Alligator mississippiensis: one gene and its partner. The protein of the gene in region 1 interacts with the protein of each later gene in a pairwise test. Links are inferred from orthologs where the notes say so. Each region holds a gene or a part of one and is shown in the gene's direction. Other genes may lie near its edges. The genes, in order: TSGA10 and ZNF410.

Region 1 (16,256 bases):
TTGATAGTTTAGGGTATCCTGTAAAACTACATACCTAGTTACTCTCAGTTTCTTTACCTCAAATTAAGATTTCTGGGTGATTTCTTAGGTTTACCTCTAAAATCTTATTTCTTTCCTAATTGTACAGCTGTAAATGCTGCAGGCATAACAGCCATAACTGAGACAGCTTTGGAAGTGACACTGAAGGAAATACAGAAGAAATGTGGTCTGTGGAGTTTGCATGTTTACTATTTTAGGCTGCTCAAAAGACTTACAGTGTCACATTCGCTATGTCAAAAATTAAATATCCTTTGCAACCCACTGCAGGAAATACTATCGAAGAAATTAATTTGAATAGCATTAGTGCTGATTGCAATGTCACATGACAATATCAAGCATTTGTATGTAACCTTTTCATCAGGCAGTTAGTGACAGTAAAAAGGTTGGGTTTAATATATTTAATGTTCCTCTTAAACAAACAAACAAACAAACATAAAAGAGCCTTCCCCCTGTCCCAGGCCTGGGGAAAGAAGGGGTATCAGATCCCCTTAGAGAAGCAGAACCCTGTGAGGAGAGAATGTCAGGCGGATCTTTGCTTTCTGTTTCCAGTGTCCCTCCCCTTACTCAATTTTTTAATTCCCCTTTTTTTTAGCCCCCATCTTCTTACAACCTTTTCAAACCCTCTCTTCCTAGTATTTCCCATTTCTCTTCTACCAAGCCTCCAGACCTACATGCCACTCATTGACATTCCTCATCACTGCTTATTCTGCACCAAAATAGTTATATAAATCTAAACATTTTAGGAACACTGGTGATAAGAGGGATGTGTCAGAGACACAGTGACAATGTGTTATTCCACTGTTCAGGAAAGATAACTCTTATTTTTCATCATCCTTCAAGTCTAATGGTTCCCTGACTTGCTGAACCAGTGAGCCAGTGTCAACCTTTAATATTTCTTGCACACCACCATGCACTCTTGTCACCAAACTTTAACTGGAAAACATCATAATTCAGACTGGACATCGGGAGACGTTACTTTACATTTAGGGCTGCCACGCTCTGGAATGGGCTCCCAAGTGAGGTGGTACTCTCTCCTACCTTGGGGATCTTCAAGAGGAGGCTGGACAGAGATTTGGCTGGGGTGATATGATCCCGGCACCTGTTCCTGCCCAGGGCAGGGGGTTGGACCTGATGATCTGTTTAGGTCCCTTCCAACCCTAAGCACTATGATACTATGATCATAAAGCACCTGGAGCCTCATGCAATCTACTGACCACTTGCTATGGCCTCCTAGATGACCAGTGGTCCACAGTTGGGAACTTCTGTGTCAATGTTGATTGGTTAATCAGTAATGGTGTTTTGCTATAAAAATCTGCTATAAAAATAAGAAAAATGTCAATAAACTGAATACAACCATTTTTACATGTTATCAATTTCACATGTAGAACCTGTGCACTTTAGATCCATTCTAAACGAGCTGTACAAATTCACAGCATTCCTCCGACACTCCCACAAATTAACTGGGCTCATTTCTGAACACTGAAATTACCTTTTTGATGACAAGGATAGTAGTAATAGGGCTTGGGACAGTCTCATGTTTTTCCCAAGGGCTGAGGATGATTTCTCAACTGATTCTCTGGACAATTTATCAGACAACAGGTTAATAACTGAAGCTTGTCCTTTCGAGTCATAGAGTTACTGTGACAACAGGTTGTTTGGAAAACTCTCTTTTCTAATCTTGCTACAGGTGGACATTTCAGCCTCTTTGGTAAACACGTGTCTAGCACAGTGACTCTCTCACCCTGGGGTGCCTTGAGATCTTTTCAAGTGTCATGGGATGCTGCACAGTGTTAGCAAACATGATTCATAAGATAAATCCAGGGATTTCAAATACAAATCTGTAGGGCCACAAAAACATCCTGCCCTGCTGGAGTCAGCCTTGAGTTCTTTTCAACAGAAGAATTGCTGTCATTTTTCTGTAGTCAAAAAGAGATTGAAAACTAATCACCGGCATTTTCTCAGGGATGTCTTGAGTCTATCAAAGGATGCCTTGAGGCAGGGGCAGATGTGGGGGAGAGGGCATGTCCTGGTGCAGTTGTGCTCCCTTTAGATTCCTGATCCACCCACAATTTAAATCAACCAGTGGCAATGGCAGCAGCTTTTTAAGTCAGGCAGTGCTGAGGGAATCATTTGACTTCCTGGCTCATTATAATTTACCCAATCCCTTCTGCACTCTTCCTTCCACAGGTCTTAAGCCCCTCTTCCTATCGATCGATCGATCAATTGATCGATAGATAGATAGATATACACACACTCTTGATGCTCCATCACTCAAGTAGGCCTTTTTTTCTGCAGCTCCACTGCCTGGTAGCTACTTTTGCTCATGGAGCTCCCAGTTCACAGCCTGGTTTTAACTCATTCCAAGGAGTTTTCACTTCCCTCTTAAATTGAATAACATAGCCCTGGGCCCCTGACCTATGAGTAAAGCTTCTGGTTTCTTTCTATGAAGAGAAAAATAGGTGCTGTTACATGGGATGATGCCCCTCAGCATCTGCACCCCTCTCCCCTTTTCTAATCCTAAATCCACCCATGCCTCAAGGCTAAACAGTTTGAGACTGCTCAGTCTGAGCAAGTCTAAACAGTCTAGCACCTACCCCTCAAGACTGCTTTGTCCAGCACACCTACAGCCTAGGGAATGACCTGCTGGGTAGCACGGAAGTGGAAAGGGATCTTGGAGTCCTAGTGGACTCCAAGATGAACATGAGTCACAGTGTGACAAAGCCATCAGAAAAGCCAATGGCACTTTATTGTGCATCAGCAGATGCATGACGAATAGGTCCAAGGAGGTGATACTTCCCCTCTATCGGGCGCTGGTCAGACCACAGTTGGAGTACTGCGTGTAATTCTGGGCACCGCAATTCAAGAGGGATGCGGATAACCTGGAGAGGGTCCAGAGAAGGGCCACTCGTATGGTTAAGGGCCTGCAGACCAAGCCCCACGAGGAGAGACTAGAGAAACTGGACCTTTTCAGCCTCCGCAAGAGAAGGTTGAGAGACGACCTCGTGGCTGCCTATAAGTTCATTACGGGGGCACAGAAGGGAATTGGTCAGGATTTATTCACCAAGGCGTCCCCGGGGGTTACAAGAAATAATGGCCACAAGCTAGCAGAGAGCAGATTTAGATTGGACATTAGGAAGAACTTCTTCACAGTTAGAGTGGCCAAGGTCTGGAACGGGCTCCCAAGGGAGGTGGTGCTCTCCCCTACCCTGGGGGTCTTCAAGAGGAGGTTAGATAGGCATCTAGCTGGGGTCATCTAGACCCAGCACTCTTTCCTGCCTATGCAGGGGGTCAGACTCGATGATCTATTGAGGTCCCTTCCGACCCTAACATCTATGAATCTATGAATCTATGAATCTATGAATGGGACGATCGACAGCTTTGTTTGTCCCCGCCCAAAGACCGCAGATGTTCACATCTGGACCTATGTCGACGACATTGTCATCATGAGGCACGATCGTACCGCGGTCCGCGCCACCACTGTGGACCTAAAGGACCACCTGAGCGATCAAGGATGGACGGTAAACCCGGCCAAGTCCATGAGCGAGCCATCCTCGGACATTAAGTTTTTGGGGACACGATTCACAGGACAATGGCGGTCAGGGACAGCACACAATGCTACCCCTGAGTTGTCCTCGCCTTGGCCAACCACACAGACAGACTTTCAAGGCCTACTAGGCCAGCTGAATTGGTTCCACAATTTCATAACGCCATCACATTTAAAAGTTGTCCAACGGTTACAACACCAAATTCGCAAGAAAACACGACGCAGAGTTCCATGGAGTGAGCGTGACCAAGCCGCGCTGGAAAACGTCATGATAGAGATTAAAAAGATGCGTCTGATCGCACCCCCCGCCGGCAATCTCCTGACAATTCACGTGGGCTACACCACGGAACATATCTGGTTTACAGCCAGTGACGCCAAAACAGGAAAACTCACGTACACCAGTCACCGCACACTCAAAAGCCACCAACATCGGTATGGTTGTCTAGGGAAGGTCATGCTTGTGGCTCAACTAGGAGAACACCTCGTGACGAGCCCAGGTGTACTGGTTGCACCCGGCGCCACCACACTGGGATTACTTAACTCTAGTAAAATCCACCCGGAGTATCAGGGCACGGCAAAAACTTGGAGTGCCCTAGTCCTTCGTCACCAGTATCACTGGTCGGTGTGGCAAGTCGCTGACAGAGAAATGATTCCGGCCGCCGAAGAAGATGATCCCACTGTACTACGATTGTATGGGACCACATCCCCAGCGTGGATAGCTTCCGATGGTACATCCCGTGATGGCGGAGGATATGGATATTATTGTGACCCCTGTCACGACTATGAGCTCCAAACGTCCCATCCAGGAGAGTCGGTCCAAGCATCTGAACTACGAGGCTTTCAACTAGCTCTTGAACACACCTACCGTCACCACGATGGGACGCTTCCGGTACCCGTCACAGCCGTATACAAAATTGTCACTGGAATGGCACAAGTTACGGAACACACCACTCTCTGGGACGATGTCAAGGCCACTTTACTACGTTTCTCTGTTTGCCCCTTAATCAAGCACACGCGCTCTCACCGACCTGACACGGACCCCGTACATGCTGTCATAGATCAGCTACTGGCACACCGAGGACCCGTGAACCAAAAGGACGTACCTCAGTTACACGCCATTGACATCATAGACACCGACCCCTTTCTCGCTTGGCTCCACGAGCGTTGGGGACACCTTGGAGCAAAAAGGGCACAAGCTCGCTGGAGGGAGCAAAGCGACGAAGGACCGAGCGTAGAACAATGGAAAAGAATAATCCAAGCCTGCTCTGCCTGTGTGCGAGAAAAACCAGTGCACTACAAGCACCAAAAGGGCGCCTATGACCTGGCACACTTTGCTCCAGGCAAGGTGTGGCAAGTGGACCTGCTCAGGAAACTCCCAGGAGCCAAGCCACCAAAAAAGGGGCTAGTAATCGTAGACCTGGGAACCCGTCAAATTCTCGTCCTCCCCACGAGGAAGACCACCACTCCCGTAATTCAAGGATGCCTACAGCTCGCTTTCGCCCATTGGCAAGTGCCCCACATCCTACACTCCGATGGAGGACCACCTTTTAACTCCAAAGGCTTAGAGCGGTTCGCGATACAGCATAATGTTCAATGGCATCACCATCTACCCTATCACCCGCAGTCCAATGGCATCGTGGAGCGCCAGATAGGACTATACAAGGAACAGTTAAGGTTAAAGGAAAATGGATCGTTCAAGAATTGGACTAAGTACAACAATGATGTACTAATTGCCATGAACGCCACTAAAGCTTTGTGGGATGAACGTACCCCGGTGCCACGTCCGCCTTGGAAGCCATGTTACTCATCCCAAGAAACAGTGTGGCTAGCCATTCCCACAGCTACCAGCAAGCGCCCAACTCCAGCTCCCGGTGTTGTACTTAAACCTGGCGAGTACCCAAATACCTATTTTGTCTCTCTTGAAGCAGTCTCACCCGCACGCACTGTCTTGGCCCACCATAATTGGCTAAGTCGACGTAGCACAGTTTAGTATACATTACTAACGAACCCCAAGTTTTGTTTTCCAGCCTAAAACGGTATGAAGTCGCCGATGCCTGACATGGTGTGAAACTCGTATTCGGGACAACTGTTGCCATGAGTGAACCCATTGGCGACGACTCCGGCAAAAACCGCCGTGCTGCATCTAGACAGACGCGGTTGGATTCAGTACTGACTAACTATCTGACTTATTTGCAAGTCTTGAGTGAAAGTTTACACTTTTGATCCTTATTATGTATTTGTATTAGATGCTGTATTTTGTACGTTTCAATTTTGTATATACCCACTTACTCGCTATAGGAGAAGAGGTTCTCGAGCTTAAACATGTCTGAAATTGGCATTTGGTCAAGGGGGCATGTGATAAAGTAAAAAAAAAAAAATTATGACCAAATGCCAAACATGACAGAAAGTTGTGCTCATGGCATGGGGGAAGTGGTGGGCGCGGCCTGATAGCCACGAGATTGGCGGTCCCGGCCCGCGCTGATTGGCAGGGGGTGGGCAGATGCAGCCCATTTAAAAAAGAAAGCGCGTGCACCAAAAAGGGAACAGAGGACCCGCGCCATATCAGAGAGGCCTGATCACCTTCACCGGAGGTCCTGCGTCCACGAAATCCCTTCCTCCCCGGACGCCCCACCACGACCGAGTATATCATTCGAACGTGTTTAGAGCTCTCGAGTCACCAGCGAGTTTAATCTTGAAACTGCTGTAACGGAAACCACCTATACGAAAGTGTGAGTAAAGCATTTATCTGTTACACCGCTTCCTTAATTGTTTTTCTGTCAACGGGAAGAGAGATAAGAGAAGGAGAAACAAGGTCCCGTAACCCTTTCGTTCCTGGCCTGTTCGCACAGCACTTTTCAGGGTCCAACCACCCACCGTCAGGTTGGTCAATGGGGAAGGGGGGCCCAATACTAAAAGTTTGCCCAGGGCTGCCAGGAGTCTAGGTACGGCGCTGTCAGGGACACAGGCCTCCCCCTGCAGCAGCAGCAGCATTGGCTGCCCCTCATGAGGCTGAATGAAGTTAGTTACTTATTCCTGGTTCCTTTTTCAAAGCTAATCTTTACACAATTAAAAGTTGTTAATAATGAATTAGACATGCTAAAGAGTTAGAATTTCATCCAAAATCTATCCAGTGGGAAGACAGACACATCAACGTTAGCATCCTCTTGCAAGCAAGCACCATGAGCCTCAAGGCCATGATCATCCAACATTGACTTCTCTGAGTTAGACTCATCATCTGCATGTCCAACTCCAGACTCCTGAAGCACGTTTTACTCTCTCAGCTCAGTCAAGGTGGACACTCAAGAGGAGGGCAGAGAAAGCACTTCAAGGACATCCTCAAGGCCAACTAGAAAAAATGCAACATCAACATCCAACTCATGGGAGACTATCACCCAGGATTGCCCCAAATGGAGGAGCAGCCTGTTGCAAGGATCTCCGTACTTGGAAATCTTAGGATGACAACAGGAGACACATGTGGGAGCTGCAGAAACAGCATGTCACAGACCAAACCAAGAATCCAGAGCCACCCACGCTGCATGCAAACACATGCCCGAGTTGCAGTGGAGCGTGTGAATCCCATGTTGGCCTCGTCAGCCATCGTTGACCCACAGGTAAGGTAATTCTGGAAGACAGGAATCCTTCACTATGACGGATTGCTGAAGAAGAAATATTTACTCACGTAAAATAGTATTGTGGATCAAACACATGGCCCTGAATAAAGAGCTGAGATTAGGCTGGATTTTGCTCCATAGTCCCTTTCTGTGTAACCCCAAACCATGCGTCTCCTGCCTGGCATTCATCAAAGAAACCCTCAGGGGGTGACGTGTAGTCTGGGATGACCTGAAAAGGATTTTGCCCCTAATCCCAGCCTACTCCCAGCTCCTTATTCTGGGCTGCACACTAGCTCCGTGGGGATTCTTCTACATTTTTATGCATGAACATACATGTCTGGGGTGTTGGTTACAGCCGTGTTGGTCAAAGCTAGGGGTGAGCAAAATGCGGCCCGCAGGCCAGATGCAGCCCGCCAGGTCATTCTATCCGGCCCGCGGGGCCCCTAAAAAATTTAGAAAATTAATATTTATCTGCCCCTGGCTGCCTGTCATGCGGCCCTCCACGGCTTGCCAAAACTCAGTAACCGGCCCTCCACCTGAAATAATTGCCTGCCCCTGCTCTAAGCACACAGGCAGACAAGGTTTCTTGGGTAAATCTGATCTCATTAGACCAGCTCAAATAGTTGGAAAAAATCATCTCTGCAAGCTTTGGGGTACAAACACCCTTCTTCAGCTGAAATACTTACTAATGTAAAATTATATCTTCAGATGAAGAAGGGTGTTTGTACCCCAGAGACAAATTTTCTCAACTGTTGTAATTGGCCTAATACAGGGTCTTCATAAAGTCCTTGTACACTTTTAAACTTTAATAATTTAGGTTGTAGGTATGATAGAAACAACCTGTAAGCGGCATTAAAAAGCAAATTTACTAAAGTTTTAGGACCACTACACTACACAATGCTAGACTTCAACATAACCACCATTTTCTTCTCACAGCTGATACAGACTTCAATTCTGCTAGCCACAGGCCACACTTTAACTTCTCATCTACACTACCGTAGCCATTTTTCGTTTGTCAATCTGAAATAAGAATAAACTTGTTATTACTTATGAAGTCTAGCCCTGTGTACTCCAGTGGTCCTAAAACTTTAATAAATTTGCTTTTAAATGCCGTTCACCGATTGTTTCAATCATACCTCCAACCTGAGTTATTAAAGTATCAATGTGCACAAGGACTTAATGAAGAGCTCAGATTTACCCAAGAGCCCTGCGCGTGCCTGGTGCACTTCCAGTGCTCGGCGCTGCCCAGCCCATCGCGAGCAGCTTGCACTTGCGCGCACAGGAGCTTTGCAAAAGGAGCCGGGAACACGAGGCGGGCTGCAGCCCCGAGCGCGCTGCCGTCATGGCAACGGGCGCCGGGCAACCCAACTGCCGCGCGGCCCATCCTGGCGGTAAGGCGGGAGCCGCGCCTCAAGGCCCCTCGCGCCAGCCCTGCGCCCCTCCCCTCCTCTCCCCCGACGGGGCAGAGCGCGGGCGGCCGTTGGGGGGCGGGGCGCGGAGGGGACCGCGCAGGTACCGCGGGGTGGGGCTGACACTGACCCCCCCTCCCCCACACGCGTGCACACCTCGGCGGGGCGGGCGGCATGAGCGGGCGGCGGCGGCAGCGGCGGGGAGCGGGTAGCCGCCTGCAGGTAGGTGCCCCCCCCGCCCGGGCTAGCTGCCCCCGGGGCGGGGGCGGCTGTGACCGGGCACATGCGGCTGTTCTGCTGCTTCTCCTCCCCTTCTCCTCCTTCCCTTCCCTTTTGCTCCTTTCCTTTCCTTCTCCTTGCCCTTGTGCAGGCCCCTGTCAGACCTGGGGGCAGTGACTCTCCACAAGGAGACTGCAGCCCCGGGGCTGCCCTGAGCGCCTTTGACGGGTGCCGCGGGATGCCTGCCGTACCGCATCAGCGCTGTCCGGTGCGCAAACCTGATTTGCAAGCTAAAGCACAAGCTGCCTTAGCAGCAGCCTGTCCCGGTGTGGTCTTTCTGAGCTCTCCCCAGTGAAAAAAAGGGCAACGTAGCTCCTTTTCCAACAGCGCTTCTTCTGCTTGGCTGTTTAGTTTAACCTGATGCTTCCCAAGCAAGGACACGCAGTGGAAGAACCTGGGGTGGCACGCCTTAATTTTAGGGTGCCGCACACAATTCGCACTCTTGGGCATGCAAGCCTCTACACATGATTCACTAGAGAAGCCCGGAGATTTCAAATAGGAATCTCCATAGCGTCAAAACTGCTCTGACCTGATGCCGGCTTTCTGAGTCCTTTGCAACTGAAGAGTTGCTCGATTATTTTTCTGTATAGTGAAAAGACAAATGGGAGCTCAGAGCTGGCATTTCCCATTGGGACCCTTGTTTCACCGGGGGTGCCTCAAGTCAAAAGTTGAGAACCACAGCCTTGAGCTTCCTTTTTGCAGAGAAACCACGGGTTTTTTTGCTTTGCTTTGGTTTTTTGGTTGGTTTGTTTTGGGGTTGTTTTTTTTGTGGGGGGGAGGTTGGACAGATATAGTTTGCCCACCTCTGGGGAAAGGTAGTTAGATGTTAGTTTGGAGTCAAGGTAGAATTTGCACTTTTAGACTAACTAAATAATGTATATGTATATAAAGCAGAAGCTTTTGTGAACTCATTGACTTAATTCAGTGCTGTAAAAGGATTAGCATAAAGCAGTGAAAAAAGTGGAGTGAGTGATTTGAATAAATTTGGGGTCCTGGTCATTGAAGCTCCTAACAAAGCCCTATTGAATCCAAAGAAAATGACCAGGTCTGGAATTGCTAGCATTTATCTTCTTTTTTTTCTGTATTTGTGTAAGAGTTGTTTGACCATGTTTGGTCAGATTTGTCAGTGAGTTCGTGGCAAGACCTTTTCTAAAGTTTTTCAATATAATTTCAGTGGTTATCTCAGGTCTGCCTCTGAAAAATCATAGCCTCTCCCTGCTGTGTCATCTCCTTTGAGATCCTTGAATTTGGCTCTTTCAGGGGTGTCAAATGTATGGCTCAGGCCTGTGGGGCTCCCAGAGAGACCAGGAATTCAGGGGCAGGGCAAGTGGAAGTCTGGGGCACAGAGCCCGGTTGGGGAGGCATGTCAGCTGCAGAGGAAAATGACTGCTGCCCCTCAAGCCCCCTTCCTCCACCCTTGACCTATGAAGAGCCCTGTGGTCTGAATCCAGCTCTGGGGGGGTGGGGTGAGTTAGACACCTGAGCTATATATACCATTCAGTACACCTGATCATCACTGCTCCACAGTTATCTATGAGAGCTCAATCTGGTAAATGATCATGTTCAAATGTTAAATTAAGCACTTTCGTAAATGTTTGCAGGTTCAGAGCATATTTTTGATGCGCACATCCCCCATTCACTCAATTTTGAATCATACTGGAATAATCAGTCTTGTTTTGCTGAAGGAATTGGCTTATTCAGAAGAATTAAACAATAAATAGCTTCTGAGAGGTACTATTTTGTGTCATTCCTTTTCTCTCATTTAGTGCAGGGGTATCCAACTTATTTGGTCCCATAGGCCAGATGAGGGGTGCTGGTCTGGTCTGTGGGCTGGATCAGGTTTACAGTCCAGCCCTGTGCATCAGGGCCAGTGCACAGGGCTGGTCTGACGTGTGCCGCTTGTAGCACACACCCTGTACTGGCCCTATGCACTGTGCAGAGCAAGCATTCTGATTCCACTCGTGCGTACCACAAGCAGCGTGTGCTGGCCCCAGCCCCATGTGCTGCACCCATAGGCTGCTCCAGATTCGCCCTATACACTATATTCTGTGTGTGGGCCTGATCCAGGTCAGCCATGTGCAGAACATGTCCTGGACTGGCCCCACACACTGCATGGAGCTCATGTCAGACAGGCTCTGTGTGCCATGTGCAGTATGCAGGGCCAGAGCCAACACATGCCGCATATGGTGCATGGGACCAGTCAGAGATCCATGGGCAGCACTGTGGGTTGAGCCATATTTTGACACCCCTCCTTTAGTATGATTTTTTTAAAGTATTGTTCATATGCAAACTATACTGATCTTTGTTTTACTCTTTTTGAGAATGACAGCTGATTGCTTTCATTGCTTAAGATGCATAAAACAAAAGGATTAATTTTAAGAGTAGCTTGGTTTACTCTAGTCCTTGAGTTCTTTTGTATTATTCCACTTGAGGGACCAATTTAGTGCTTTCATTGGAGTTGGATCAAATTCTAGGTCCTGCTTTTACAGGGCAAGCCTTCCACTGAAGCACCTGGTTAATCTCAATATCAGTCATATTTTTATTTGCTTTTCAAAAGTGAAATTTACAGATTTTATTTCAAGTATCTTTGGTTCTTAAACTTGAACATTTTTATCTTAAGATGATGTTATACAACATAAGCACATGAACAAATTACCCCAGAGTAAGCAAGAGGCAAGCTACTTTGGGTTCGCTTTCTTTTCCTGATGGATCAAAGTGTGCACATGGGCAATTACTGTGGAGTAACTGATGTGCTGTAAATCCCCTCTACCCTCAGTTACATTGTAGTAAATTGTGTGGCTGTGCCAATTGTGGCTTGAGGGCAAATAGGTTGTTTTCTGTTGTTATGAAGTATCTAAGCATATGTTTTCTCCCATTTTCAAGGCTCACTCTGTTACTCCATGCAGCATGCCTTTCTAAAATGCAGAAGTACAGTACTTCATGTTTTCTATTCTCTCAAAAGGTAACAAGAAGAGGAGATGATTTTGATTTAGGGGATCGAGCTTTTGAAAGTGAGAGATCTTCTAATCTGGAAAGCAAGATTACGAACAAAGACAAAATAATCCATAAATTGAATTCACAGGTTCGGTTTTTACTTTTCTGTATTACAAAAGTTGTTTTATTTTTCTGCATTACATTTTTTGCTATTGTAGCATTTTGTAGGAAACAAGGATGTTGAAAATCTTACATACTGAAGTTATAGCCCAAAAGTAACCATTATAATTTAGATGGGTATTAAACAGTGAAGAGATGGCAAACTACTTTGCTACTGAATGAAGTTGAAGATCCAAAACACTCATGACAAGATATCCTGTTATATTTGCATCATGGCATTTTTCATCATGTTATGCTACTAACCTCTACAATTTAATCCTTGCTTGAACTTTGTAAATCAAACAAAAACTCAGCGTGTTGCTGTTTGCATAGTCATTTGATGCTTACTACTTTAATTTCTCTTGGGTATTGGATAGGAGATGTGTCTCCTCAAAATTAGCAACCAGTGGAAGGGGTGCTTCTAAGCTATAGCCAAGGCCAAAAGTATTTGGATGTTTCAACTAAAAATGATCAGCAGTGACGTAATTACCAGTGTTCCATTTAAATTGTTATAAATGATGCTTTAAAGTTAATACATGTATCCGTTTTTATCTCAGTTCACAGAGTTGTAGACACCTTCTGAAATTTAAGTTAGTCATGAATGTTTAGTTGGATATTTTCAAGTTTCTATGTTCTTCCATAAAAAGTAAAATAATTCTACCCTACCATACTTTAAGACTTCATCTAAACCAGGGCTGTCCAACTTCTGAGTGGCTGGGGGCTGCAGGCACCCCAGGCCAATGTTGCATGGACTGCACACCTCCAGGCTGCACACCATATGGCAGACACTATACTGTGCTGGTGACCCCATGCTGCATGGGTTTTGGGTCCCCCCAAGCCCACTGGCAGGCCACTCCGGCCCTACAAGCTGGCCACCCTGCCCTGCCCCCAGGTGTGGAGAAGGAAGCAAAAGCCAGGAGAGAGACAGTGAGCCCAAAGACTCTGGTGGCAGCAGCAGCAGAGTAGTGGGGACTGCTGCACCTGGATTAGGAGCCTCTAGGGCCACAGGCAAACCTCTCAGAGGCTTTATGCGGCCTTGAGTTGGATAGCTCAGGCCATGAGTTGGACAGCTCTAACCAGGGGCAACTGGTACTTCCTGAGTCAGGGGGGCATGTGGCCGCCAGCCCCCCCCCCCCCCCCCGTGGGCAGTCAGTGACCGTGGCCGAGCTCACCAGCTTGCAGGGGGAGGCCCCTGTGGCTGATCACTGGGCTGACTGGGAAGCACAAGCGGGGCACCCAGAAGTGCCAGTGATGCTTCTCCTGGTGCCCCCACTCTCTGGCTGGTACTCACAGGGGGAGCACCGCTGCCTCCCCCCCCCAACCTGTCACCTAAGTGGGGAGTGCTGGCTGTCGGGGGATGCACCAGTGCAATAAGGGGATGCACGTGCACCCCCTGCGCATCACCACTGACTCTAACCTAAACTATTCTCAGTTTTGAGCCCTTATGTGCATCTGAGAAAAGATGGCAGCATGAACAATAAACAGATCCATGATCCTGATGACCAAGGAGGGAAACTAATTACAGAGTCTGGGATAATATTTATGGAAACTCTTAATTTATACCAAGGAAGTTCCAATTCAAATACTGTTGCCAATCTCAGCTGTCTCAGGGAGGGGGCGGTGACTGAAGGAGGGATTTTCTCAGTTAATTGGGCTTTGAAACATTTTGGGGTTTAGAGGTTAAAACTAACCTCTTGGGTTCTAGCATGGCTACCAGATATGAATATTGTTGTGCGTGCTGTACATAGTCTGTAAGTAAATGAACAGACATTGACATTCTGATGGGATTTAATAATAACCTTTGGAAGAGGAGTTCCAAAGAGGATGGAGCTGAACTGTTCTCAGTGGTGGCAGATGATAGAACAAATAACAGTGGTCTCAAGTTGCAGCAAGGGAAGTTTAGATTGGATATCAGGGAAAACTTTCTCACTAGGAAGGTAGTAAAACACTGAAACAGGTTACCCAGAGAAGTTGCGGCATCTCCATCCTCGGAGGGTTTTAAGACCCAGCTAGGCAAAGCCTTGGCTGGGATGATCTAGTTGGGGATGGTCCTGCTTTGAGCAGGGGGTTGGACTAGATGACCTCCTAAGGTCCTTTCCAAACCTAATTATCTGATTCAACACTAGTTGGACCTTCCCAGAGGACCCAATGTACAGCAGCATCCCTTCTTGCAGGTACCAACCTAGTCAATTTTTCTGGTGCCTTTTCCATCATTACCTGGGTTTGTCTTATTTAAGAACTGGCCACTTTGCACACATCTATTCTCCAAGTTCATAGCTGTACAGAATTATTTGTTCCATTATATCAGCCAGATCACATGATGATTCTCATTACATGCAACAACTCATAATTCATCATTAATTCTCCTAATATCCTTATATACATGCTGAACTACAGAGATGATAAATTAACCTCTGAAGAACCTCCCATGAGAGCTCCCTCCAGGTGGAAGAGTGTGTGTCCCAATTGTTTGGAACTTCCTAGATAAGAATAAATATGTGCTGCTTTTGCCCAGCAAGCCCAGCATGGAGAAGGACACTTTGGATTGGTGGAACATTTCTACCAATCGAGTAACAGCTGGGAGGGGCTAGCCCTGCCCCTTCTTGGGGGTGGGGGAGCAAGGAGCCCCTGGACCTGTTTGAAGTCTGCTCTTTGCAGGTCTGGCAGACTTCAGGGGTGGGACCTCCAGTGTAAATAAAAGCAGCACGCTGGGCAGAAATGGCAAGGGACGTTGGAGAGGGAAGAGCCTCCACGGGATCCCTTCTTCATCCCAGCAATGCACAGGCCAGCGCACAAGGCTCAGGCTCTGGGAGCCACGTTGAGGCAGCTCGAGCCTGCATCCTCAGCAGAGGGCTGGACAGAGTGGTGTGCAGGTTGGCAAATGGGGAGCTGGCCCTGGGAGTAGCTCAAGGCTGCTCGGGGCCCCACACGTTGTGCAGTCCGGCACACAGAGAACCTGCCCTGGGAGCAGCCTGAGGCTGCTCAGGTTAGCCCTGGTGTAAGCTGGATAGCTGGAGCCCTGCAGTGTGACCTGCCCAAAGAACTAAAAGAGCCCTGGAGCCTAGAGCAGGGCCCAGGAAAGGGGAGGTCTAGGCATAAGGCCAGGTAAACCCAGCCAGCAGTGGCTAGGTTGCGTCCCCACGAGAGCTGGAAGAACCCTCGGTGCCCAAAGTGGGGCACAGGGCCAGGAGGGGAGGTCCTGGAGTGACACAGACAATGCTGGTGGGGCCTCTGATTGAGCGAAGGGCTCTGAGGTATGGTCAACAGCTCCTCGAAGGAAACTAAGTTGCTGGCAGAGTCGGGTCCCTCAGGGGAGGCATTCCTGAAATAAGGTAACCCCTCCCCACACCCCGAGGGAAGCCCTGGGTGAAAGTTTCCCTCCCAGCTAGACCCATAGAAGGGGGAGCACCCCTTGCTAGCTGGGATCCAGAGGTAAATGCACCTCATGTCGTGTAAGACTGCGCCTCATATTTTGTATAATTGTTATTATAATTATGAATATGTTGTACAAAATGTCACGGGATTGGGTTAGTTTGGTATAATGGGTTTTTGGCTTATCATATTGTAAATATCCATCTGTATACCTTTGGTGTTAAAAGATACTGCTAAGAATATTTTCGGAACGTTTTCCTTTGTTACCTGTTAGAGTATTTATCTATACATATATTGAATAAGAAATAATATGAATATTATGATTTAGTAAACTGTAAATAGTTAAGAGCATTGGTGTGGAGTTGACTCTATAGAAGAAAGAGGGACCTGTGCTGAAATCACCTGTGTCCCTCTCACAGCACTATTCCCTGCCTCATCTGTCCTTTCCAATTGAGGATGATCACACCTTTGGGTGTTCCCAGGTTACAAATAGAATAGCTTGAAGATAGTTCTGTCCACTGGTGCTAATTTCTGAAGGCATCTGTATAAAACATTATAGTTAATGGAATTGAATGAAGTTGACACATCCAGTACTATCTGCATCACACTGCATTCTCATCTGTTACCAAAGGGCCATTGATGAGTGAACTTCTGCATAAATTCAGGCCCAAAGTCTGTAGCCTCTGCTCCCTGCTCCCTTCCCACCCTCCCCCCAGTCTCTGCTTCCCTGTTCCTTCCTCAGCTTCTGCTCGGTGCTAGCAGGCTCTGTCCCCATTCTAGCCTGGAGCCCTGAGCACAGCTCCCAGCCCACTTCCCCCGTCCCCCAGTAGACATGTGGGCTGTATGCTGCTGCTTTGGGGCTGTGCTCAGTGCCACAGGCTGCAGCATGGATGGCGCATGCTGGCACGG
Region 2 (16,222 bases), on another chromosome or scaffold:
AAGCCATAACCTTAACCATGGAATACAACTCAAAAGAAGAGCATTTTATGATAGGAAGTGAGGAAGCTAGTAAGATTTATATTTTAGTGAAACTGCAGTATTTTTCATTTCGGATTGCCATATATTTATTTTAGAAGCCATTGTTTAAAATTTGTGATTTGGCTAATTTACCAGGTAACTTTTAAGCCCACGTTATTGCAATAAGCTTTAATACAGAAGCATAACAGCTACATGCAACTCCAGAAGGTATTCCACTGCATAAAAATTTCCAGGGTACAACCTGCCAATATTATAATATAGAGCTGGAAACCAGCATATGTCACTCATTCTGCCAGTTCTATTCAATACTCTTACTATGGTTTTTGTGCATATTGTGTTTGGAATAATGTGTGAAGCTATACATTTCAGAGACTTTACTGAACTGCTGGAGTTAAATATAAGAAGGATTCATAGGAGAGTCTTCACATCAAGGGACACCTGGCTGCTTCTTAGCAACAAAATAAACCTCCTTTTGCCAAGGGACCTTTAAGTGGCAAGGCATTTTTCCACCACAATCCACTTGATAGGAAAAAAACTGCAGGGACCTCCTATATAAAACATGTTTTAATTTTAAACTGTACTGGTATATGGCAAAAAGGAAAGTATTTTACTAAATTTTTAAAGCATTCATCAATATGAAAAAGGGTTTAAAATGTATATTTAAAATCCTAAGGCAATTTAAGAGTCAATTAAGAAGCTTCCAAACTAACACAAGAATGATGTTTATAGACATGGGATAATGGATAGCAATGATTCAGTAGCAAAAATTCAGTAATGCTATACTGGGTATCACAAACTGTTAGTGGGGATTTTTCACTTGGGCATAGGGCTCAGGAAATCAATTTACATTAAGTTCAATGTTGCCATAATTGTCAACTACTGCATTTAGTTATATTCTTATAAAAATATATTCTTTATTACTTTATTATCAAAGTGACAGAAACTGGGAAGTCTCCTGTTCAATAGATTCGAGAAGTTGAAAAAAAAGAAATCAATTCAGGCAGCAGTGTCTGCCTCAAATACCTCTGACAGTTACTGAAGTGTCACCATCACTTCAACATTTTTCACTTAGGGGTTGACAGGAGGTGAATTTTCCACAAGCAAGCTAACAGGTAAAAACTTCTGAATAACAGCATACCTCAACAGCAAGACAACTCTGCATTATTAGTAAGTGGAAGGAGAGAGTGCAAGGGATGTACTAAATATAAAAGTGAGGGCCCTTAACTCAGACCTCAAGCAGATTTGAGGCTTTCAGAAACAAGCTTTGTGACTCTAAGCTATTTCCCTTCCAGCACAGGAAGTACTTGTGAGCTAACTGCATTAAAGTGAAAGCAAGATATTTCTCACCTGCCAAATATATACTTATCTCTAACCAAGGAAGGATCATATTCAATATTCTTTAGCTACTACTTAGAGTAAAAGACATTTCTTCCAAGGTCACAGAAGAGCAATTTGAGTTTTCTGAATCGTTGTGCTCAAACTTCTTGAAGCCTCTCAATCTTGACCTGTGTTAGAGTGACTCAAGCTTACATTTAGAGCAGTAGTTCTCAATATTTTTAGACTCACAGCACCTCTCAGGTCTTATACTTTTCCTTGTTTTTTGATTACAGAAAAATAAAACAACTCTTCTGTTACAAGGAACTCAGAAAGACCATGACAGGTCAAAATGTTTTTAACACTACAGATTCATATTTGAAATCCGTGCGTATCATGTTTGCACACCTAACAGCCCAAACACTGTGTGGCACCCCGCAGCACTCTCGAAAGGGTAAAGGCATCCCAGGATGCTATGGCACCCTTGCTGACAATCACTGATTTAGAGCTTTCTCTCCCTTTTGTGTGACAACAAGGGAATAATATTCCTTATTTCATATCCTGAGAACTGGTATCAAAGCACACGCAGAAAGGTATGTGAGCACCTCACATTTTTTTTATATTTATTGTAATCACAACCTTGTGAATTCAAGGAATTACTATTATTACTGTTCTAAAGATTGAAAGGGCTGCAGCTCAGAAAAACTGAATACCTAGGTCACCAAGGAAGTCTATGGCAAAACAGAACACAGCCCGTCTCCTAAATCCCAGGCTAGAAGTCTAACCATCTCCCTCTGTCTTTCCAGGACTCTCTTATTCTCTTTGATCTCAAGAAGTCATACATTTCTTTAAATATATTTCTCTCTGAGTAAATAAGCTTCCCTGTATAAGACCAAAAAATTTAAGAATTTGCAGTATATCAAAAGACAGCCATCATTATAATTACACATTATTTTTCGGTAACAAGATTACATAGCAACTAAAGAGTCTAACTAGCTTAAATTTCGTATTTACTGTGGAAACAATCCCCCTAGCCCTGCACACTACCAATACAGCGCGCACACTACTTTCAGCATGCCATATCTGCTTACGCACAAAGAAGAAATATAAAGGAGCACAATCTGAAACTTTTGCATAGAACAGTCTTTTTAGATTTATCAGAGTTCAAACTTATAAATTCTGACCCCCTTCTACTGATGCCAGATCTCTTGTTCCTGACAAAAATCAATCCTTGCACAGCTCCAACTGTCCTTGTCACGTGCACAATGGGTCACTCGTAAGTGAATCCACATCTATGCCTTGTTTTATATTGATATTCTACAGCTAGCATGATAATACAATGCAAGATGTTTGTACTGCTTTAAACAGCATAACCATCACCCTGCCCAATACCAAACTCCTCAAAAGCACTAAGTTGACAAGTTGTTAATACAGGATCTGTCTACACATTTCAATTAAAGCTGGATAGAACTAAACTAGAGTCAATACACATTTTCAAGCATTAATTGTGTAGCTGGCCAGCTCTTCTTACAGTTGAACTGTCATTTTTATTGAGTGATAATTACTTTGCACATGGGGGCAGGCTAAACATATTGCACAATTCATCAGTTGCATGACAATTACTTTGCTCTTGTGGCCAGTCTTACTTTGCATGTGTGGCTGGTCTAAGGGTACCCTATGATCCACCAGCTGCTAAATAAGACCAGATGCAAGGGCAAAGTAATTATCACGCAACTAGTGAATCGCACAATACATTCAAACTGGCCTCATGTGCAAAGCAAGACTAGCCACAAGGGCAAAGTGACTGTCATGCGTGTGTCTGGTCTAAACGTACATTTAAATTCACCACTTGCATGATATTGATGGTTATGCTGTTTAAAGCAATTCACCACTTGCATGATATTTATATTTTGTCCTTGTGGTGGGTCTTAGTCTGTACATGAGGCTGGTCTAAAAGCAGTGCGTGACTGAGCAGGCAATTGCGTGATATATGCAACGTGTGGTGGGCTCAGTAGTTCAAAGAGCGAGTACCATAGGAATTGGAAATATATCAAGCCTGTCACAGGTCCCAACAATGATTTCATACAATTCCTCACACCCCGGCTTTCATCTGCATGGTCTCCCTCCTGCTCTCATGAATCTCTGCCTGTTTTCTTTTTACCTGCCCCATGAAATCAACTGCCATACCCCCAATAGCCCTTCCCATAACAGGGAGGCTAACTGCTGTCCAGTGGGCCTCAAGCACATGTTAACCTCATAGGTCAAACAGGCCCGTTCTCCCAAAGACAGCGCAGCACCTAACTACAAAGGAGCAAGACCTTCAGGGCTTCCTGCTGCCTCAGCTGCAGGAGTCCTTTCCTGGTGCCGGGCCCCCTGAGGCAACAGGGGGTGATTTTGCTCTCCTCAGCTCTCGGCCAGGCCTCCCCCGAGCAGTGGGGCTCCCACCTCTCCCCTGGCAGCTTCCCGGGCCCTCGAGGGGGAGGGAAGGCGCCAGGGCCCCGCCGGAGCGGGCGAGGCGGGGCCACTACCTGTTGTGGCGGACGCTGCTCAGCACGCACAGCACCAGCTCCAGGTAGGTCCTCAGCAGCTCCAGCCAGCGCGGGCACAGCGGCGTCTCCCCGTCGGCCGCTGCCGCCCCCGGCCCCGCCACCGCGCCGTCGCCCACCAGGCCGCCCCCCCCGCCGCCGCCGCCGCCGCTGGGGTAGTTGTCGGCGGCGAACTGGACGCGCAGCTCCCGCACGAACCAGCCGCACTTGCGCATGAGGAAGTCGAGGCGCGGGCGCTCGGCGGGGCAGACACGCAGGCTGAGGCGCAGCCGGGGCCACAGCGCTGGGTAGAAGAGGCACTCGCGCCAGTGCGAGCAGGCGGCCGAGGCCCGCAGCCGGTCGGGCGCCGCCAGGAAGGAGAAGATGTGCACCACCAGCTCGCTGGGCAGGGAGCCGGCGCCCACCGCCCCGCCGCACACCGACATCCCCGGCGCGGGCCCGGGCCCCGGCCCCGGCCCCGCTGCAACCCCCGCGCGGCACCGGCCCGGCCTCGGCCTCCTGCCGCAACAACAACAACATCAATGACAAGGCGGGGGGAGGGGCGGGGCCGCCGCCGCTCACCCGCTGCCGGCGCGAACCACCCCTGCGGGCGGGCGGGGGGGGCCAAAGAGGCGGGTGAGAGAGGGGAACGTACCACCGGGCTACGGGGGGAGGGCATGGCACCTGCTGCCAATGGATAGGCGGGAACCTACCAACTCACTCAAGAATCTAGCTGAGAGCAGCGGAGATGCTACAGGCGGGTGAAAGGCAGCGGAGGAGTGGGGGGAAACCCATCAGTGGTTGCAGATTGTGGGGAAAAGGAATTCTTCCCTCCCCCCGCTCACAGAGGGATGGAACCGACTGCCCGACAAGCCGGGGCTGGGAGGGTGGAACCTACCATCAAATCAGCTGCGAGGAGGGCGCGCCCAGACTCGCTGGGGGGAGGGTTGGACTAAACCATTTGGAGTGGACGGAGAGGGGAACAGGACGCTGCCACCTCACTGTGGGGCGGTGCAGGGGCCGGAGCGGCTGCGGCCGCGGGGTCTGCCCTGTCCAAGGGGCAACCTCGGGGGCCTGGCCGCCTTGAAGAGCCGGGATCCCCAGCGGGGGCTGTGGGACAGAGCGGGCGGTGCTGGGGGGGCGGCTCGATGCACGAGATAAACTCAGGGATTCACGCAGGAATCCGGGGTCCAAGCCGCTCCGCCCGCTGCGGCCTTTCTGAGGCCTTTGCAGAAGAAGAGCTGCTCTAGTATTTTCCCGCAGTCAAACGCCCAGTGAGACATAAGAGCTGGGATTGCCCGAGGGGACCTCGGGGCTGCTGCCGCGGAGGAGAGGAAGGCGCAGGGGACTGGGCTCAGGCAGTCTTCCCCTCAGCTCCTGGTGCTGTTTCCTGGCACTGGCACCAAACACTGGGAGCCCCGGAAAATTACTCCAGCAGCTGGTAGCTCCCACTGTAGAGCCGCCTGCCAGACAAGTCCTCAGCTCCCCAGCCCGAGCAGAACAACTTCCGCAGGCCCTCAAAGGGATAGGCATGGATCTCCTGCCTCTGGGGCACTGCTTTAGCATCTGCCCAACTACCCAGAGCGCTTGGCTGATGGCGAGTCAGGTTAAGGGGTCTTGGTACAACAGAGTGAAGGCTCCAGGTTTTATGAACTTCCTGGGTCAGTATTTGTAGACTGCTGAGGTGGTATCAAAGCAAAGGTGTCCCTTGCTCTGTGATTGTAGATCACTGGGCTGGTATCAAAAGGAACCTTTGAGGTTTCTTGTTCAGCCACTGAGGTGCGCTGGGAGGACACCAAAAGGACCAACTCCTGTGTGAATGTTTATTTAGCACCTCTAGCTTCCTGGGATGATGCTAAGGCTCCAGGCTGCTCTGTGTTCAGTGGCTCATTGCCTCTAGTTTGCTGGTTTGATGTGGAAGGAGACATCTCTGACTTAAAACTACAACTTGGTGGGATGATATCCAGGCTGTGACCTTTGTGACTGACCTACTTGAATGAAAAAGGCCATGGGCCCAGCCCACTAAAAATCGAGGGCCACCACTGGTTGGGTGGCCAGAGCCTTTAAAAATTCAACTGATTACCGGGGACAAATCATAAGAAAACAGGGTGTGCACGTGCAGGGTTAAAGGGCCAAAACAAGTGCTCCCTGGCGGGGACGCCAAGCAGAGCACACCAGACAGAGCCCACCGGCCCTTGAACTCAGCTAGAGTGCCGGCGGCTACCGCCCAGCGATGCTCCACTTGGAGACGTGCACGCAGGACACTGAGGAAAAACACCCCAAGGTCTCCGGGAAGACCTTTGTGACTGATTTGCAGTTTCTGCTAAGGCACGGGCCTTTGTGAGATCACTTAGTCACAGACCCTTTGGCCAGGCCCATTGAGGCAGATAACCGTAAGGTTACTGATTTAGGACCTATAGCTTGTTTATCTGACAGGTAGAGAGGTAGTTAGCTGTTAGTCTCAAGTCAGGGCCTGTCCTGCCTTCCACCTCGCTTATCTGGTGTCACGCTGAGAGCTCTGTGGTTTTTGATATAACTCCTTGGTGAAGAGCAGTGCCTCAGCTCTACTGACTAGCTAGTCTAATTTCAAGGCAGAGGTTCTGTGAATCAGATTTAGCAGCTGCAAATTGCTAAGGAGAAGCTCTATGTGGCCACCGGCTTAGCATATGTAGGTCACCTGCTTGATGACAATGAGCAGGCTTCTGTGAACAGACTGATCCCATTCCCACAGGTTAGATTGTTTCTGCTCATTCAGTAAACTCCCACCTCTAGCTTGCTGGTCTGATATCAAGATATAAACCTTGGTGTCTTCTAGCTTATCAGCTGAAGCTTGCTGTACATCAAGACCCAGTGGTACAAGGATCCCTGTTTCAGAAACTTGTCTTACTCGGTGGGTCAAGACGCACATTGCTAAGAGTTGTCCTGCTTGCTTCCTCTCTGGCTTGCTTTTGCTGAAATTAAGGCACAGGATTTCATAAGGTCACTGGGTCATCCCTTCTGGTTTCCCCTGCTATGCTAACCTAGTGACCCAATGCAAAACCACAGCTCTGCTTCCCTCAGTGCAGGAACTGGCTCAGACCTAGTTGTTAAGCTGAACGATCCTGTTGGTTCAACGTGCGCCAACTTGTGGCAAGATGACAGACACCGACCGCATCCTCTGTTCTCAGGAAGGGCGCTTAACTAGGAGACAGGACCCCGGTGCAGCGAGGCGGCCGGCTTCTGGCAAGGCTGTGGTCCCTCTGATTCTACCCTGTCTAAAAAATAGGGTTAAGTGTCTTTGCTTTCTGGAGAGCTCCTGAGAACTGGATCCGTGGGGCCAGTGGAGGCGGGCGGGCAGCCACAGACCGAGCAGCCTTTGCCACCAGAGTAGCCGCGGGCTGAGCAGCCCCAGGGAGAGGGGCCGCGCCGAGAAGCCGCAGGGCTCTGCCGGCGCAGCCCTGGCTCGTACCCCAGGAGCTCGTCCGCTCCTGGAGTCCCACGATCACAAGCGCCGCAGGCGACAGATCCTGCCCGGGCCCGGGCTCGGGGCACGGAGCGCTCAGGACCCACGCCTGGCGGCGACAGGGTTAACGGCTCCAAGACACCGAGCCCAGGAAGCCCCGCCCACCGGCCTTCCCGCCAAGGGGCGGTGTCGGAACTACGGGTGCCAGGATGTTGCCATTCTTGCTCCCGGAAACAGGAACCGGAAGCAGTTGCGGTCACCTGTCGGGATGGGGCGGACGTGGGCTACAGAGACCGCCGTCCGCGCACTAGAAGGGCTCTCGGACCATAGAGCTGGCCCCCCAGCATTTCCGGTCTGGTGACGGCGTCACATCCGGGCGGTTCTGAGATGCCGGTAAGACTCGTGGGGGCGCGGAGGCCCGCGAGGCCGGCCTCGTCCCTGTCCGTGTCCCCTAGGAGCGGCTCGAGCCCCCCATACCCCTGGTCTGAGGGGAGCCGACCTCGTTTGGGGGCGCCTGCGCCTTCCTCTCCCTGCGTCCTGACTGGCGGCCTCGGCTCCCGCCCCCCATTTCGGGCAGTACCCACCCCCACTCCGGCCCTGTCACGGGGCAGCTGCAGCCCGCGCCGGGCTCGGTGTCGCGGGAGCAGAGCGGCCGGAGGGCCCCCCAACGCAGCCCCGTCGCTGCGCCTCGGAGCTTCGGGCTCCCTGCCCCTTTCCTCCTCGGGGGTGGCCCCTACTGCCTCTGCGTCCCGGCAGGGGCACAGGCTTGGGTGGGTGTTCAAGCCCCTGAGACGTAGTTAGCCCTATTAGCCTGAGGGCGAGTAGGGGGTAGGGACATTCTCACCTTGCAGTTTAACCCGGGCTCGTGCATGCGCTCTGGCCAGCCTGTAGCAAGTTCCCAACCTCTTCAGATTCAAGGCAGCTCTTGGAAAACGCTACATGTTAGTTTTCCCTCTTTTTTTTCGAATCTAGAAAAATGATAGAGTTGTCTTCTTAGTTGCTGAGAACTTAGGCTACAGCCAGGGAATTCCTGTTTCAAATCTCTGGGTTTATCTTGTGAATTATGGCTGCTCACAGCCATGAAAAAAAACCCCTAAAAGGGTGCTTTCCTTCCAGCTGGGCACACCCCAACACCAAGCACTGTGCATGCCCAGAAGAGGCATTGCATTAGTTGGACCTGGCTCACCCAATGTCTGTATAAATCAGGTGATTTTATCTAATAGCCAGTTGAATCAGCTATTTGATAAAATCAGTTACTAGGTAAGTGCCAAAAAGCTCTGCTGAAGCACCCAATTTATACAGGTGCTGCGGAGCCAGGTTGAACTAATGTACTTGCTTCTCTTTTAGTTAAGTGCTGGTTTTCTTGTTTTTTTTTTTCCCCACATCTGTCTGTCCCATGTTTGCAAACCAAACAGTGTTTAACGTTGTGCAGCACTGCATGCTAGCCTTGAAAGCATCTCAAGGCATCCCAGAGTCCTGTGGCACCCTGGTTTACGATCACTGGTCTGTAAGGTGCAAATCTTCCCTCTGTCTTTTGTTAAAGTCACTGGCTAGAAGGGGAGGATGGTCCCACAAGTTTGCAGTTTGAAAAATAACATGAGGCAAAACCTTAGGAAGAACACTGGCACCCTGGGTCTTGGCTTTATTTTCATTTATTGTGACTATTTATTTATGTGTTATGCTAATTCAGTCCAAGGCACCCAGTGGGAGATGCCAGTTCTTGGCTTCTCTTTGGTTTTGACTATGGAAAAAGAATAGAGCAATTTTTCTGTTGCAAATACTTCATAAAGCCCACAACAGGTCAGAATGTTTTTGACACTATGGATTCCTGTTGGGTTTATCTTCTGAATCGTGTGGGTGTTTGCACACCTAAAAGTGTTAATATTGCGCAGCACCCTGCAGCACCCTTAAAAGGATCTCACGACACGCTAGTTAAGATTTGCTGCCCTAAAACATGTTACTTATAGATATATCCTGTAAAGCTGACAGGGAGAACCTTCTTCACATACCAAAGTTTCCATACTAGGAAGAGAAGCAGAACATCATATCTATTAGGCTTTGGTGGGGACTGTAGTTGTCAGCAAAAGAGGTCACCTCTTTACATTGACTTCCATTATTAAGTCAAGCACTTGCAAGTGTGTAAAAGTAGGAACAAAAATAGATTTTTTTTTTAATCTATCTTCCTGTCCTGCAGAAGAAACAACTTGTTTAGTTTAAAAATTGGGGAAATTGCATGAGAGAGAACTTAACTCAGTGGTATCTGTGATTATTGAGAATTTGTTAACAACCAGAAAATCAATGAATATGAGAAGGAGGGTTGAGTGTTCATGATGAGTTCTGTGAGAGTGGGTATTCAATTTGTTTGTGCAGTGGAAAAGCTCAGGCTCTCACAGCATAAACATACTCAAACATTAGGGATCCTGCACACTTTAAATGGGCCTCAAATGGCCTGGCAACGTTTTTCTGGACATTAACGATAGCAACTATTGCTTTTTGCTACCCTATGGATTTTCAAATTGCTTAAATACAAGAGAAGAATGTTCTTTTAAATTGAACTTTGGTTTACATTGTTTTTTTGAGCATTTGAATGCCATGAATACCTAGGCAGATGAGAGAACTCAGAGACCATCCAAGTCAAGAGAAATGTTTATGTTCAATAGTAATAATTTCTTGAAGTCTGATTCTTTGGTCCATGGATGATAGCTGCTCACATTTTCGTTTTCTTCTTTGTTTTAGGTTAAATTGAATATCTGCCAAGCACAATTTCTTGCAGGAAGATCACCACACTGCTTGAAGGCTAGCTAATATGAGAATAACCCCAAGGGACTGTTCACTCTGAATTTTAAACTCTGTGCCTTGTCCAGGACAGCTGCAGGAATCGGAAACTTGAATCAATGTTATCAGATGAGTTAGAGTCCAAACCAGAGGTGAGGGACTATAAATTGGGTTCAATTCCAGTTGGGTTCCTATTTTGAGATACATTATCTGCTAGATAGAGAACTGTATTTGCCATTTGGCTCTGAATTCTCAAAAAAGTCTTAATTTTAGCGGACGGTGGACGTATCCCATGATTTTAAGAGCGCAGAATATTTTTCAGTTGTATTTTAAAACTGTTTTTTGTTTTTTTTTTGATTGACTGATTGGTACAAATCCAAAGGGGCATGTTAGTGTATGGGTGTTTTTCTTTTATTTTGCTTTCTTGCTTGTTTTTAAGTTTGAGCAAAGTTCCTTTGTCCATCTTTGGAGTACAATAACAATGTGAGAACATACTTTTCCCACTATGAAAAAAGCTGTTGTATCAGTTTCTTTCCCTGTACCTGCACTGACACTTCTAGAAGTTTGGAATTTTGAATATTTCAGAAGTTCCCATTCTCCATAGAGAAACGTGGTTTTGTGTGTTACTTATGACTCCTGCCAAGTTGCCTGGCAAAAACCTAAGACTATTACATATCTTCTTAAAGTGACTTTCTTATGTGAGCAATTGCAGAAGTTGTCAACAAGATGTTAGTGATGATAAATGGCGGGGGGGGGGCTGTTACTTAGCTAATAAGATGTGCCTGTTCTGTGAAAATATTAGACTGTTCCTGAATTATTTGTGGGGTGGAGTGGGAGGGGCTATTTGTTGTTCATGAGGAAGGATTTAAAAAATGCAATTTGTTGTTTAAGCTTGTCTCTGGCACCCATAGGTGACAAAGTTGGGGTTAACAGGGCTTAATCCCCACAAATACAGCTCCAGTTGCAGCACCACCATGCCCTGCTGCCACAGTACTGTGCCCAGTACCCCTGCTGTGCACTCCTCTGCTGTGTACAGCAGCAGTGTGTGTTGGCCCCACCACGGCCATAGAGGAGGGAGGGGAGGGGGTCAGGCGGCATGCTCTGCACTGTGCCCTGTACCACTGCCAGCCCATCCAATAATATTTTCTCCCAACGTGTATACTGGCAGCTCTTGTAATGGGAGAGATTTATATTCTTGCCTTTTGATGCTGCTTAGCCCAGTTTGTTTTGTAGAATTCTTGGTTGCCATTATATAGAAAAAAAGTCAGAAGTTCCAGCTCTGGGATGAGGGGTGGGAATCCTCTGCTGTTTTGGTATTTGACTGCCTTTTGCTGCTCTGTGTGGGTAGACTTTTGAGCCAAAGGAGAAGGAAATTTTTATTTAAAACTGCTTCATGTAATAGAATAAGATTGGATAGGACAAGACATAATTCATAGAATGTCCTGTATGTATTTCCAATCTGTGCAGGTGATAGAAGGGATTATGGCTAGCATGTGAATAAATGTGAAATATTAAATCTTTGAAACTGGAAATAGCCTGATAACTTTTGACTCCAGGCAGTTTTGCTGTACAGATTGTTCCTGTTCCCTCTTACTGGTTTTGTTACACCCCCCATGTTGTACCTTGTCTTTAAATTAGCATAAAATCTTTCCAGGAGGAAATCTCTTCCTCGGTGCTTGTAGAGCACCTAACGGATTGGGTCCCTCATCAGACTGAGGTTTCTGCATAATCCTGTACTATCAGTAATAGTTAGTAAGGTTGATCTTTTAAACTTGAGGTCTGGCTTCGGACTCAGTTCATGTGGTATATTACCATGTGAGTGACAACAATATTTCTGAGAGGTAGGGAAGTATTAGGAAGCATCATATTTCCGTTGATAAAATGGGAAGTATTGAGCACAAAAATTTATAGTCCAAAATTTCAAGTATCTATTCATTTTTGGTGCTGTTTGAGGCTCAATCTTAAGACACCTAAAGCCTGACTCAAAATAGCAGCGGCAGCAGCTCCCATTTGCTTCTCCAAACTGAGGGAAGCAGTTGCGCAGCAGTTCTAAATCAAGCCCTTGAAGTGTCTCAGTGTGCACCCAGAAATAAGGAGCATGCAATCAGTACCTCCTTAAAAAAAATAAAATAAAAAAAAAATAAAATAAAAGGGACTTGCTTACCATCTCGTAATAGACCAGTGGTGGAGCCAGGCCCCAGCCTACAGTGTGAATCACTAGAAGAGACCATGATTTCTCTATATGCATCCTCCTTGCTGCAGTCATTACATAACTTCCACCGTCTTCATTAAGAAAGGAGAATTCCTGTAGTCAGCCTTATTCTCTACACAATCTAGAGAATAAGAGCTGTTCATGAACATGGCATTAAAGGCTACGCGTCTGTTACCAGAACATGACTGTATTATGTTGTGGAATTTCGTATCTTAAATGGAAAAAAATAACTGCATTTATTTATTTATTTATGGGCTCTGCTTGTGACAAGAAGATTCTTCCATAGGCCTGAGCTCAGGGAACTGAATTAAGACTTGTGATTGTGAATGCTGTTTTGTTTTTTAACAATCTTTTTTTCAATCCATGGGTCTCAAAGTAATCCTGTAAACACACCTTCACAAAGTAATCAATTTTACTTACCTTGAGGTCAATCATACAGGTTTGGCCTCTTCTTTCTGAGAGGTAGCATGGATGAGGTCTGTGTTTTCTCTCTGCCAGAAATGACCTCATGCAGCCTATCTGATCCAGAGGGACTCAGTTCCCCTCAGGATGGGGGTCTGTGGTCTTTTCAGTTATGAAATGCCCAGAATAATTAACACAAGACATTGGAAAAGGGGGCCTGGACCTCCTGATCTTGTTGCTCTCAGCCTGCTGCTTCCTTCATTAAATTAGAGTAGTTTAATACAGGGGAGGATTGTATCGGTAGTGATGGCATCAGTAAAAGGAGGAGAATCCATTTTTCCCACCTCTGTCCTAGAGGCAGAGCTCTGTGCTTTCATTCTGGAATGACACCAGAAGCTCAGGAATGTGTATGGTAGTGTGGCAGGAGTTTGAACTCTGAGATGCCGTGCAGAAAGGATGCATAAACATTGTATACACTTTGGTGCTCCAGACTTGGACCAAATGCAGGCAGACTGTCAGACGGACTGAAAAGGCACTTGTTTGTCTATAAGACATTTCTTGTCAGGCTTCAGATTCCTGCTCCAGATTCTTGAAACACAATAGTTGTCCAAAAAGGGGTCTGTCAGTCTGCTTGTCTTTTCAGTTTAGTTTTTTACATGGGAAATTTACCTTTTTCTCTTTGGAAGAGAATTGGTTGAACTGCCTTCAGTTAAGCTTAAAACACTCAACCTGAGCATGGAAAATTTTTTGACTTGGAAGTTTTGATCTTGACAAAATAACGAAGGGCAAAAAAATGAAAGTTAAAATGGAAATGATTCAGTAGCCTTAATAATAGACATAACTACCTCTGCTAGTAATTCAGACCTTGATTATATTTTTAAGTAAAAGTTAGGTTCCCCCCCCCATGAGCTATATACATGTATACTTGTATTTATGTAAAGTAGGCAGAGCCACTGAATCTATTAAGTTGATAGACTTCCACTGACTTCAGGCTGCTGCACTAGGTTCTGTGCATGGTACAGCACAGTGGAAGGTTAACACCAAATTTTCAGGTGTTTCGTTGGACTCTGTAGAATGCAGTAAATGGATTTAGCAGTAAGTAAATCAGTCTCTTCTATCCTCTTTTTTTTGTTCCAGCTGCTGGTTCAGTTTGTTCAGAACACATCTATTCCACTGGGTCAAGGGCTGGTGGAATCAGAACCTAAAGACATCACCTGTCTCTCCCTTCTTCCTGTCACTGAGACATCAGAATGCAACAGACTGATGTTGCCAGGTAAGATCTACAGTACAGAATCTTAGGGGCATACCATTTGTATAGCTATGACTAGTGTGCTGCTGCAGTACGCTGCCTCTGCTTCTTGCTGGAAAAGGGCCCCAGTGCCAAAGGGACATATTCTGAAGAAGTGTTGGCACTTTTCTCAATAGTGGTGAAGGTTTACTACTTTAGTATGTTTTTCCCCCAAGCTTTCTCTTTTAAACTATTGAGTTATTTCCACAATGTTTTTGCTGAGGGGGTATAATTAAACTTTTATTCTTTCCCCTACTCTCCTTTTCTTCATTAGATGATTCTCCAAGTCATGATAACTCCTCCAAAGATGTTCCCTCATCTGCTGTCTTGAGAAGTCTCCAGGTAAATGTGGGCCCTGATGGAGAGGAGACAAGGGCACAGAATGTACAGAAACCCTCTGAGCTCCTGTCAAGTCCAGAGACTTCCAGCTTATTACAGGACCTTCAGCCCAGTGACAGCACTTCTTTTATTCTCCTCAACCTAACAAGAGCAGGTAATTCTTCTATTTGTCATTTGGCAGGCTGGGTCTCAAAGAAGAGAATGCAGGCTATCCATGTACAGCTCTGCCCCTGTTGTTGGAAAGATCATGACATTTGCTGGGCATTGTTGGGTATATTAGAGCCTGTAGCTGTCAGCAGATTCTTGCAATATAGGTGTTAGTGGAGTCTTTCTGTGCAAATATTATGTCTGTACCACAAACACTAGCTTCTGGGAAGCAGGAAAGATGCTCCTCTCATCACATTCTTTGTCTCAGTCAGCTGCCTTTTCTTCTAGGCCTGGGCTCTCCAGCAGAGCACCTTGTGTTTGTGCAGGATGAAGCAGAAGATTCTGGAAATGATTTTCTCTCCCATGACAGCACAGACAGCAGTACTCCATGGTTTCTACGAGTACAGGAGCTAGCCCATGACAGTTTGATTGCAGCCACTAGGGCACAGCTCGCAAAGAACGCCAAAGCAAGCAATAATGGTAGGAGACTTCCTCTTTCTATTTGAAATGTTGAATCTTCTGCAAAAAGCAAGTAGCAGCAGCTGTTTCAGTGTTATCTATCACATTGCAAGATGGTTAATAAGTACACAGAGTCAGTATGTATGTCACTATTTAGTAACTTTAGCCAAGGTTATATTGAGGGTTTCAGTTAAAGCAAGGCTTCAGTGTCTCTAACTGGACACCATTATTGGCACTATTTTTGGCGCAGACTTAAGTTTCTGGGAAATATGTCTACAGCTGGGATTTAAAGCAGTTTTTCAACTTAAACACCTACCTGGACAGAGGGGAACAGAGCAAAGCTATTTTTATCAACATCATCTGCAGTGAATAATGATGCAGAGCAGTCTTATGACCTCTCTACGGTGTCTTTTGTATTCCTCAGGTTTTTTTTTATTTATATTTCTGGGAACCCAGTTGTCAACAGTTCTCTTGCAAGTTTCCAGCTTTTTATCTACAGCTAATTGCTCTTCAAGTCTACTTTTAAGCTCGCTAGTGTTCAATTTATTTATTGCCTGCCGTTGTTTATGTTCCTTACTGTACCCTCATTAGGTCCTGGGGGGGTCAAGGTTTTGGGGGTTTTTTTTTGGGGGGGGGGGGGGGTTAAGGAAAGCTGTTTGAACTCTAAATTTTTAATTTTATGTAGGTACATATGTAGTTCTCAGAACAAGGGATATGTTGCGGCATCTGGTTACCAGACAGGGTAATCAGGATTGTATCTGATGTATAGACCTGTACTGTGCTAAGAATAATCTCACCTTTTAAAACTTTTGTACTTTCCAGAACACAGTCAGATATTACTGTACTTTGGTATTTTCCGTTACAGGTGAAAACATTCATCTTTGCTCAGGAGATGGGCAACCGAAAGACTCCAGCCCTATCCCTCATCTGTCCCGTGTGGAAAAGAAGCTGAAGTGCACAGTTGAGGGATGTGACCGGACATTTGTATGGCCAGCTCACTTCAAATATCATCTAAAAACCCACAGGTGAATGGACCAGAGATATCTTTTGACCTTGCAAAACCATGGAGATCTTCTGGACCTTATGAAGACCATCATTGCTTCCCACTGCTGAAAATTTTTCTTCCAGGATGAAATTGAGGGGGAATGAAAAACATAAGTGAATCACAAATTTAACTGTTGTTAAACAAATTATACTTTCAACCCAGCCTCCTACTCATCCCTAGTTTGGCTAGCAGATGCCTCTGGCACAGAAACCTATATTTTTAACTTGCTACTTGA

What was found.
Region 2: the proteins of TSGA10 (region 1) and ZNF410 interact in binary tests that used the Homo sapiens proteins (3 or more experiments, as listed by UniProt). The two-hybrid records come from large-scale screens. The link is inferred for Alligator mississippiensis from reciprocal best matches to the Homo sapiens genes TSGA10 and ZNF410.

The regions. Positions count from the first base shown.
Region 1 is NC_081824.1:342,978,534-342,994,789, reverse strand, and holds the start of TSGA10 (testis-specific gene 10 protein), read left to right. Parts: upstream 1-8,619; 5' UTR 8,620-8,777; coding exon 8,778-8,825; intron 8,826-11,844; coding exon 11,845-11,964; intron 11,965-16,256. UniProt on the Homo sapiens protein: Plays a role in spermatogenesis. When overexpressed, prevents nuclear localization of HIF1A.
Region 2 is NC_081825.1:260,293,166-260,309,387, forward strand, and holds the start of ZNF410 (zinc finger protein 410), read left to right. Parts: upstream 1-7,572; 5' UTR 7,573-7,713; intron 7,714-10,056; 5' UTR 10,057-10,214; coding exon 10,215-10,247; intron 10,248-13,846; coding exon 13,847-13,982; intron 13,983-14,271; coding exon 14,272-14,490; intron 14,491-14,771; coding exon 14,772-14,963; intron 14,964-15,807; coding exon 15,808-15,967; intron 15,968-16,222. Other genes in the region: FBXO33 (F-box only protein 33), read right to left, coding at 3,882-4,324. UniProt on the Homo sapiens protein: Transcription factor that binds to the sequence motif 5'-CATCCCATAATA-3', and is specifically required to silence expression of fetal hemoglobin in adult erythroid cells.